Linked DNA regions of Mus musculus: regions 2 and 3 are each reported to be linked to region 1. The links are microRNA targets in miRTarBase. Many come from high-throughput screens and were not tested one by one. Region 1 holds a microRNA gene; each other region holds the end of a gene's coding sequence.

What was found. The annotated mature microRNA mmu-miR-124-3p reads UAAGGCACGCGGUGAAUGCC and lies in region 1 at 2,070-2,089, shown strand. An mRNA with a match to its seed (bases 2 to 7 or 8) in the 3' UTR can be bound and repressed. Matches are read on the target gene's strand: a 7mer-m8 pairs with bases 2 to 8, a 7mer-A1 pairs with bases 2 to 7 and ends in A, and an 8mer does both.
Region 2: the mRNA of Kif5c is a reported target of mmu-miR-124-3p. The part of its 3' UTR that is shown has no 7-base or 8-base seed match.
Region 3: the mRNA of Ppm1f is a reported target of mmu-miR-124-3p. Seed matches in the 3' UTR shown: 8mer at 1,934-1,941.

Annotation. Positions count from the first base shown.
Region 1 is chr3:17,793,654-17,796,994 of GRCm38, forward strand. Mir124a-2 (microRNA 124a-2) reads left to right here and starts at 2,009; the gene lies at 2,009-2,117. Mir124-2hg (Mir124-2 host gene (non-protein coding)) reads left to right here. Exons shown (of 3, transcript NR_033490.1): 2 at 940-1,360. Gm51272 (predicted gene, 51272) reads right to left here and starts at 2,088; the gene lies at 2,032-2,088.
Region 2 is chr2:49,758,571-49,761,911 of GRCm38, reverse strand. Kif5c (kinesin family member 5C) reads right to left here. Exons shown (of 26, transcript NM_008449.3): 25 at 2,990-3,102. The coding sequence ends at 2,996. Among named protein-coding and RNA genes, the nearest start is that of Gm46738, 13 kb to the right of the region's middle.
Region 3 is chr16:16,923,505-16,926,845 of GRCm38, reverse strand. It overlaps Ppm1f (protein phosphatase 1F (PP2C domain containing)), which reads right to left. Exons shown (of 8, transcript NM_176833.4): 8 at 1-3,206. The coding sequence ends at 2,824. Among named protein-coding and RNA genes, the nearest start is that of Ppm1f, 29 kb to the right of the region's middle.

The DNA.
Region 1 (3,341 bases):
CTCTGTCTTAGGTAGTTGTATTGGGGCCAGTGTGGTGCGTGCAGGAGAGTGTAAGCAAGGGCAAGGAGGGTGCCCTTTGCTTTGCCCAGGCGCAGCTCTTGGGGGCTGCGCGCCTTCTGCAGCTCTTTGGTTTCAAGGACACAGCGAGCTGTTCAGGACTTTGGGAGCCAACATCTGTCTGACTGGTGACGTCAGCAGCCCGTGTAATCCTCTTGTGCTGAAGGCAGATGCCTTATTTGTTTGGCTGGAGCGAGCCATTAATCCCTAATTCTGGATCAGCAAGCGAGGGGGAAAGACCGGACCGCTACGATCCACCCCCTCCCTGCCCCCACCGCCCATCCTAAAGCACCTTATATCGCGGAAACCACTCAGCCTCCTCTTTCCTCCGAGAACACGCGGAGCAGCCCCTGAAAACGCTTTGGTCCTCTGCAGGTTTGAGCAGAGCTAGCAGCTCTTTCGCCTTTGGATTTCTAGGGCTATGCCTATATGAAATTCTTTATTTCATCGATCATTTCGATTTTCATGCGAGAACTCTTCAGTCTTGCAGTTTGCAGGATTCTAAACCAAGAAGGGGTGGAGATTGGAGAATGCGGTTCTGGCGTGTGGTCTGAGGGAGGGGTTAGATGGGTAAGGGCGCGCGGGATGCGCAAATCGCTGAGACTGCACAGAGGACAATCTGAGGACTCGCTTTCAAGACTCCATCTCAGGAAAACATTTCTCTCGTCCTGACTGCATCTTCTCACCTTCCGAAGCCGGGATTGAGTTGGGAACTCCCCTGTCGCCCCGCACATTGCAGGGGCTCCCCGAGCTCGATTCTATAGGTCCGGACGGCCGGTCACCTTGGCTCCCTAGAGTGATTCCTCCCTCCTCCTGTCCCTCCTCTCCAGTCTCCCCCTCCTCCCTCCTGCTCTAATTCTGCGCTTTGATTCTGTTTTTCAGGGGGAGCGCTCTGGGGTCTCCGCACAAAACCTGCTTTTGAGCCCTTTGGCTTTCTTCAGGCGAGCGCAGTCCGTCCATCCCCCTGGCCCACCCAGCCGCAAGGGATGCTGTGAAAAGAGCCGCTGCTTGCCGCCTCCGGCCTGCCGTCCAGAGGGCTCCGCCCGTAGAGGTCAACTCCCCTCATTCTTCTTCTTTCCATCTTGCCCTCCCTCCGCCGAGCCCAGACTCGGATCTCCTCCTGACTCCCGCCGCAGTCAGAGAGAGCGCATCTGCTGCGCTGCCCTTAAATCTACGCCCAGAGCGGGCTCAGACCCGATCTCTGCTCTCCAGAGCCGGAGGAAGCCCGAGCAAGCAGCCTTTTCTCTTCGCAGTAAAATCATAGCCAGACCAGATGGGCCCCAGCTCTCCCGGGACTCGGCAGGTGCTGTTGAGTTAATTTTTCCGCAATACAAAGAAGGAGGACCCAGCCGGCCTGGGATTCTGATCTTTTCCCAAAATTTCCCAACCAAAATCGGGCTATCAAAGGCGTATACGTGTGTTTGTCGGACATACAAACATGCATGATTATATTCGCTTTTTCTGCTAGATCTCTGGCAACAGGGGATGAGTGACAAAGGTTTCTGCAGCAGAACACTCATGGTGTGGTCCTTAAAGACTTGCCTTTCCTTACAAATGTCTTAGGACGGCATTCAGGGCGAACCAACTCAGTTAATTGCCTTCAGTAAAATAACACGATTACGAAATTAGATCTGTACCAGAGGGGTAATTAACTTCGATCCATGTCATCATTTGAAAACTAGATTTATAGACATATGTATGGGTTTTAGGTGCGCTGTAAATGGCATGCAGATGTATGCATAAGAATCGCAGACTCATGCACCCGCTACTCTTCAACCTTGCAGACTAATTAATGGCAACTCTGACAGATGTGGCGGGAGGAAAGCTGAGGTGGGAGTACTGCTCAGAGCTACAACTCTAGGAGTAGGGACTCCAAGCCTAGAGCTCCAAGAGAGGGTGAAGGGCAGGGAGAAAATTATAGTAATAGTTGCAATGAGTCACTTGCTTCTAGATCAAGATCAGAGACTCTGCTCTCCGTGTTCACAGCGGACCTTGATTTAATGTCATACAATTAAGGCACGCGGTGAATGCCAAGAGCGGAGCCTACGGCTGCACTTGAAGGACATCCGAGAGAAGTTAGGAAGGGTGGGGAGAAACAATTCTAGAATGAACCCATCCTGTGCGACACAAGGACCCCTCGCATTGATTCAAAATCTTTAGAATACAAGACAGTCAAATGTTTTTCAGCGAGAATCTGGGAAATCCGCATGCATACTCCCAAGGGGAATATTAGAGGTTTCATTGACAGCTGTCAGGAGAGCTGTAGTTCCCATTGGTGCAAACGGTCTAAGAGATGGCACTCAGAGAGTGCTGGCCTTTTCCAAATAAAATTCTGGGTCGAACTGGGAAAACAAAACGGATGAGAAACCCCAGACCACACTGCATAAGAAACCTCAAATGACTCAATTATCAGTGAAAATAGGACCCCCGCCCCAAGCTTTTCACTATTCTCCCATTCTTTACCCAGTCTCATGGTAGCCTTGACTGGATTTAAAAGGCCAAGGCAAAGTGACAATACCCAAATCAGTCAATATTGTCCAATAAGAGGGAAAGGCCAAGCCAGGAACTCTAAGACTTGGTAAATTAATGTATTTGGAAGACCATGAGGTACTTAGTTAAGGTAGGTTCCATAACCCGAAAGCCTAAGAAAACCACCGCTGAGAAAGAGCCTTGGTGGAAGTCTTTGTTCTGTGGTGGCCTATCTGGCCTGGGAACAAAGGAGAGGCTGGAGAAGGATAACCCAAAGTGGCCGCACCCTCGCCTTGCTGACAGGATCATCTTCCTCTTCCTCTTTCTTTTCCTCCTCCATTACCTCCTCCCCCTCCTCTTGTGGTAATTCTGCAAACAAGGCAATAGAATTATAGAATCGCTTCTTCTCTAACCCAGCCCCATACCCCAGGATATTAGTTAACTTACAAATAAAAACCTTGAAATACGGAAAGACAGGCTAAACAGTATTTTGCTGAAACCATCCACTCTGACAATCAGCTGATTTGGCCAGAAACCCGAGTAGTTAACAAAATGTGCTAGAGAGAGATTAAATAGATTTTTTTTCCTCTTAAATCACAATCTTGAAAAGAGAAACACACGGTTTTCAGTTGAGGATCTTATCTCAGATATGGTCACCAAAGATACCTCTCAAAGGACCCTAGAGTGTGCCTCAAAATATATTTAAAAGGTTCTGACTGAGGTTGATTTAGTGACCAGAGCAGGCAGGAGTAGAGAAGCCTGCAACCACTCTCGTGGCTCTCAGCAAGGCTTTCTGTGGGACAGCTTTCCTTACT
Region 2 (3,341 bases), not on the chromosome of region 1:
TAATGCAGAGGTGCTGTGCAGGCTGTTGGGGGAGAAATTGTCACCAACAGTCCTTCTGGACCCTGCATGCCATGCTATCAAAGTGCCAAGCAAGATGTGACTACAGGTACAACAGCGGCACAGATGATTGGGGTACGACCAACTGCTTTCCAACTAGACTTAAACCACTCTACAGGGGAGAATTTGCTTCTGGTACTGTAAGAGACAACAAAAATTTGAGGCTGGGGATGTTCACAGGCCACAGTGGAAAACAGCTATCATGGTTTTATTAAAGATATGTGATGTGGCTGTCAAGCTGCCTTCTAAATATCTGTGCCAGTGGATCACTGTTGCTCTCAGAAGTTGGTCATAGAGGGAAACTTCCTTTCGTAAATGATGGCACAGTACAGAAACTCAAAACCTCTGGTGGAGCTCTTAAGGACAACATACTGTTGCTGTGATATGGGAGCTTACTTAATGCTTGGCATTAGATAGACATCTAGGTCACCCCCTCTGAAGTTCTGGGTCAGAGAAGTTGTGACTTTTCAGTCTCCAGTATAAGAGGTCATACCAGTGACAAATGATCAACCTTACACAAAATGTCGAGTTTTAAATCTACTGTGGTAGCTCACACCTGTGACTCCAACACTCAGGAGGCTCAGGCAGGCAGCCTGTTGTGAGTTCAAGGTAAGTCTGGGCTACATAGCAAGTCCCAGGTCAACCCGGACTTGTGTAGGTTTGGCAGAGTTTTACTGAATTCCATGAGGAGGGATTTAAAACATAGTCTGGAAACCCTGGGACAGTGTATTTACTAAGAACTTGTTGGAAGGTCAGAGCTCACAATGTGCTTTTATCAAATGACAACCTACACACTGCATGTTGCCCAGACTGCTAAGTATCCACCCCACCATCCATTCTTATTCTCCTAAAAACATGACTCTTGTTGCAGTCTAAATCCCTCTCCCGTAGTCTGTGCTTGATAAACACTTGGTAGTGAACTGTTAGGAGGTGCAGTCCTTGAAACCTCTCCCTATCCCTTCTTCCTGCCGCCTTCTCTGCATCCTGGCCCTACATGACGTATAGTGCTCCTGTCTCCAGGAACTAAGCTTCTTCTACCACCTTCCCCTCTGTGACACTGAGGCTTCTAAACCAGGAGTCAGAAATGATCTTTCTCCCATTAGGTTACCACTGCAAGTATTATGCTCACAACAATATAAAACCTAACTCCCTTCTGGGGCGCCAATGTACCCAGATAAAGCTGCCTTTTCTAGTCTCCTATGTGGCCACATGCCTCTGATCCAGGCATTTAGACTTCAGTTTTGCATGGGTACTCTGAGGGAGGCTGCTGTGGCCAGGAGAGCTGCCTTTGCCTCACCCTGGCTTCTTCTTGGGATACAACTCCTGCAAAGAAGACACGGAGCTGAAGGTCTAGCAGAAGTCATTCTGGAGGCCATGAGGCAACGCCAAGGAAAGGAGGCACCCACAGAGGACAGAGTCTAATAGTCTGAGATTCTGTGGTCTCTACAGACCTTACTAACTATACCCAGCCCTTGCACTTCCTGCCCATGAGAAACTATCATTGTATATGAGCCCTGCTTACTACAGAGAAGTAGGTATTATATTTTTTGCTGGATATCAAAACCACTGGCCATTCTTGGTTAAAAACAGAGAAGTCCAGGTAGGCCCCACTCCGCTAGTAGCCTGGCCTGTTGTCCTTTACCTACCTAAGCTGGTACCTTTATTACTGTTGCATTGTACTGAACCCAGTTCCCTTACATGCTAAGTGCACACCCCACCCCTGCCCTCTGCCTCCAGCCCACACAAGAATTTGAGGCTTTTTTTTTTTTCCTAAACAGCCCCCAATAGCCACCTTTCAGATTTTGTCCTTGGTCCTGACAACATGCAATCAAAAACAATTCAGTAATATCCAATTTGATTTTATTTCAGACTAGAAGCACGTTTTGGACTTGAATGGGTGACTTACAGTCCAACTCACTGAGATACAGTGATACTCCCAGTGTGTTGGCCCAGTGCAGACGGCCTAGGCCTGCCCTCTGGTTCCCACTCACCTGGCCAGACCTTGGCTAATTCCTGGCTGTTTATGTAAAGCTACACAGAAGCACCCTTCCTGAAGCCTGCAGCTGGGCCTTAGTAATGCCGTCATTCTGCCCTGGACCATTCACTTCAAATGCGATTCTAAAAGCACTGGCTAAATCAGTTGCTCTGGATCACCAAGGCATGCCTTGATTGATGCTCCCCTGCTCTGTCAGCTAGCCTCCCTAGTGAGGGCTCAGAGCCCAGGAGTCACTTTGTGATCATCCCTTTCCATCTACACACTCCAAGTCTGCGGTTTTCTGAGCCCCCTACTATCCACTGCCAGCCTGACTGGGAATCTTTCTGTATTCAGCTACTAGGGACAGGCGTACCTCTTCCTGTTTCTCTCCCAAAAGCATATCACTCTTTTACTGTCAGAGCAATAATGAACATCCAAGTGGTAGGAACTGGGGCTCACAGACCACTCGCTGTCTCAAAGAAAAAGTGGTCTAGCCCCACTTAAATATAAACTACACATTCTTCAAACCCCCATTTATCGAGGCTCACAATAATGATAAAAATATGACTCATAACCCGCTCATTGTATCCCATTCCTGAGACTTAAAGCCACCCCTTACTTCTGTCTCGCTTTGTAGATTCAGCTGCGGAGGGAAGTCCCACAGTCCAAACCCTAGATGAAGCACTCATCAACCTGAGAGGTGATTAGGCCATGCCTGGCTCAGAGTTGCACCAGCCCTGTGACTAGAGGATCCTTTGGCTATATGGGCTGGCAAAGCTAGGCCCAGATTTCTCTTACCTGGATCCCAGCCCTCTTCCTGGAACAGAGATGAACATATCTCTATTAGAGAATATGGCTAAAGGCCAGGGTAGGGTTTCAGAGTGTCAAGAGGGCAATGCCCCCAGGTAGGCCCCGGGGCTGCTGCAAAGAGAAAATACCCCAGGCTGCAGGACTCACTCTGCTTTATTTCTGGTAGTGAGTAGAGTTTGAAGAGCCACCTCCTCCTCCTCGGACGGCATGGACAGCTGTCGGAGATGATGCTGGGTAATGGCCTGGGCGGATGGGCTTGGCTATATCCCAGAGAAAGGAGAGAGAAGAACATCATTGGTGACGACCAGTCATGGGTTTATCAACATTGCACCACTTACTTACCCCCAGACCTTCCTGGGCATAGCAGGTCTGGCCTCTGAAAAATAAACTAAGGACACCCCACATAATTCAGGGAGAGAGAGAACTTATATATTAATCATCCTATTATTTTTTCTTTTTAAAAAACAAAGATTCTTTTTTTTCTTGAATAATTTATTTA
Region 3 (3,341 bases), not on the chromosome of region 1:
TGCTGCAGATCCCTTGCTTCAACACTCCTGAAAGCCTGCTTGTGCCCTCCCACCTCTTAACGCCTCCAGGCCTTGGTTGGGAGGCAGCTGTACCTGCAAAGGCAGGCTGACGGCTTCAGCTTTTGTATCTGTGTAAGACACTGGCGCCTGTAACTCAGCTCTGTTCCAGCCCACTTAATTTTAAGAATAGACACTAATAATACTTAACCCCTCTCTGCTGCTGGTGGAGGATGGGCTCCCGTGCTCTGGCAGCTCCTGGTAATGCTATGCATGCCCTCCATGCCTTTCCCTGAGGCCTGAGAGGTGCAGTGACTGGTTCCGCTCACACAATGTGATGGTGGCAAAGAGGGGGACTTGAGCTCACAGCCACCCTTCTCCCTGTTCCTTCCCTGAGCCTCTACTAAGCCACCCATTATCCTGGCTAGGGGATTCTTTTGGGAAGAGACTCTGAGGAGGAGGTGGCCAACAAGTCTTGTAGGCTTGGTACTGGCAACTCCAGTCCAGACAAAAAGAGTTCTCTGTACCTAGGAACTCGCTCAAGGCCAGCCCTCAACAGTAGGAGAATGTGGTCTTCCTTGGCCACTAGATCAGGATGGAGCAGTGCCTGATGTTGGTCCCAGACCATTGCCAGACAGGGGGAAGGGTGGGGGAGGCACTCAGACAAGCCTGGGAAAGGGGCTTCCCTTTACACTGAGGCCTTGATATTTGGCACATCTTTACATGCGAGTATGAATCCAGACCACCAAGGAGGCCCAAATTCCACTCTTACCAGCAATGATCAGGTTAGCAAAAATGGGAGAAAACCAAAATCAATTTATCTCCCTCTATGAAGGTCACTGCTACAGGCAGGCTGGACCAACAACCACACCCTGTGTTGAGATGGCACTGAGGATGCTGGATTCTGACACCCCCCCCCCCCCCGGAAGGCAGCAGGCCTTCAAGTTAAGCAATACCTAGCTATTAGGTGGGCAGCCATCTGAGTGATCACGTTCCTATCAGGAGACTTGATCAAGGAATCAACTACATGGCCCCAGCTCTTCCATCCCTGCTGTGGGAATGGGTAAATGGCAAGCATACAGGTGGGTGCCCAGCTGCATTTGGCTGGCTCGCTCTCCTACTGCTGGAAGTGAACTTGCCTCAGAGGAATAAGTATGAGCTCCCTTGCTTCTTTTCAAAGAGGGCTTAGGTGCAATGAACAAAGCTCTGCAAGTCTTGCTAGGGCTTTCACTCTACAGGTGAACTATGTCTCCTTCATGGGGACCTACCTCACAGCCACCCTTCTTCCTACTGATCCTTCCCTGAGCCTCTGCTAAGCCACCATTATTCTCTGGACCTGCCAGTGTCTGCAGAGAGCAGCCTTGACTCGCTTGGCCCTTGTTGAGGGCCTCCTAGTCCTTCTATTCTTGGTATCCCCCCCAACCCTCACTTGGTTTCCTTGCCTGACTGTATCCATCACTGCTCTAGGGATGTGGAGGTCTTTCATGCTGCTCAGGTCAGGACAGAGTCTAGCAGGTTAGGACACAAGTCACAGGAGAAAGATGGTGGACTGCTGGGCTTGCCCAAGTTCCTCACCTAAGCACTGTCTTCAACAACTCAATCAACATAACTGCAAACACACTTAAGAGAGTTTCAAGAGAGATTGAGTGTGTCAATCTTCTAGCCAAGAGCAGTAAGGTTCTCTCAGCTGGGAACCAGCCAGACTCCAAGGTGGACAAGGAGGCCAGTGTCACCCCAGGTGCCCATAGTCACAGCCTTTACCCATCACTTCAAGGAAGTTCTGAGGTGCCCAGACGCACAAAAGGACTTTCCCAGAAAGAGTGCTGGCTGAAAGTGTGCCTTCCCACAACAAATGCAGCCTCTTTGAGAACCTCAACACGTCTGCCTATCAGGATCCATGACGGACCCAGCAATTCTCATCTACACCAAAGCTGTTTAAGGCACTTAAGTGGCTTATTAACATAACCTGGAAAAGTTTGTTTCCATCCCGATTTAGGAAAAATAAAATCATTAATACTGCAAATGTCTCCACGAACACACAAAAAAGTAAAATACTTAAGTTTTCAGGAATAAAATAAATGCTAAGCTTTGCTTAAGTTACATGACCTTGAGGGTCACCTTGGCACTGATACAACATGACAAAGCCTGAATACTGATTCTGGATTAGACCTTTCCCTGCAATAAATCTAAGCACACAAAGACACACACACACACACACACCTCACTTCACCTCCCCAGGAAGCTCAAGGGGAAAGCGAGGTCTAGAAAGCCCTAGTGGCCTTAGTACTCAGTTAGAGTGCAGTGGCAGTGGGTCACTCTCCTGCTGTGCCTCCCAGCAAGACCAATGTCTCCTCTTTGGGAAGCCAGCAGTCAAGCAGGACTGCGAGCTTGTGTGTTAGTACAGACCAAACCCTCCCAGCCTTGGGTACAATGAGAAGCCACAAGCCTGGGCTGGACACCTGGCTGCAGATCTCATTCCAGGATCTGTGTGAGGGTCCTCCAAGACCTGACCTGTGTTTTTGGTTAGGCTACCAGCAGGTGCCTGTGGTTTCTGTTCCCAGACCTGTCCGGCCCTGATCACCTCAGCCATCTGCTCTTCGGTGAGGCCATTTTCCTATGTTTCCTTCTGAGATCCACTAGCTGCCTACTGCAGTTCTGCAGCCATGAGGACAGGCTGTGGTAGGCAACATGAAGGGCTGGGGTGCTAAGGGAATGCTGTGAGAGTGTGCACCCCTGCCCACTATACCTTTTGGATCTAAGGTCTTTGAAGGGGAGGATCACGAGGGCAGAGGGAGAGTCCGGATGGGGCCTGGAGGCCTGGACCACTTAGCTTCTCTGTGAGGTATTACTGATCTCAAGTTCTGAGAGGCCAGTGGACAAGTCCTGGCTTCCTACATCTGCCTGGGCATCCCCTGTCCCCTGGACTCCACCCTCTAGCAGCTCCAGGGGCTCCCTAAGGAAGACCACCATGACTGTAATGTTGTCATGGGAGCCCCGGTCACGGGCCACAGCCACCAGCTCCTCAGCAATACGCATCCCATTGCCCTTGTGCCTGAGCAAGTGGCCATGGACGAGACCCGTGACTTCATGGTGGGGGACAACATCGAAGAAACCATCACAAGCAAGCAACAGGTAGTCCTCTGAGCCCGTTAGCTCTCTGGATGCTGCATCGGCCTCCCCAGACACATAGGGCTTCTGGAAGACATCCCCTGGGAATGAACAGACAGAAGAGCCTTGTTTCTTACTTCCCGTGTGCTCAGAACCAACCCATATCACCATCCCCAAGGGCATGCAGGTACAGGAGCCCAGCTGGCTCTCAAGGGGTCACCTGCTTAGTGCTTCCC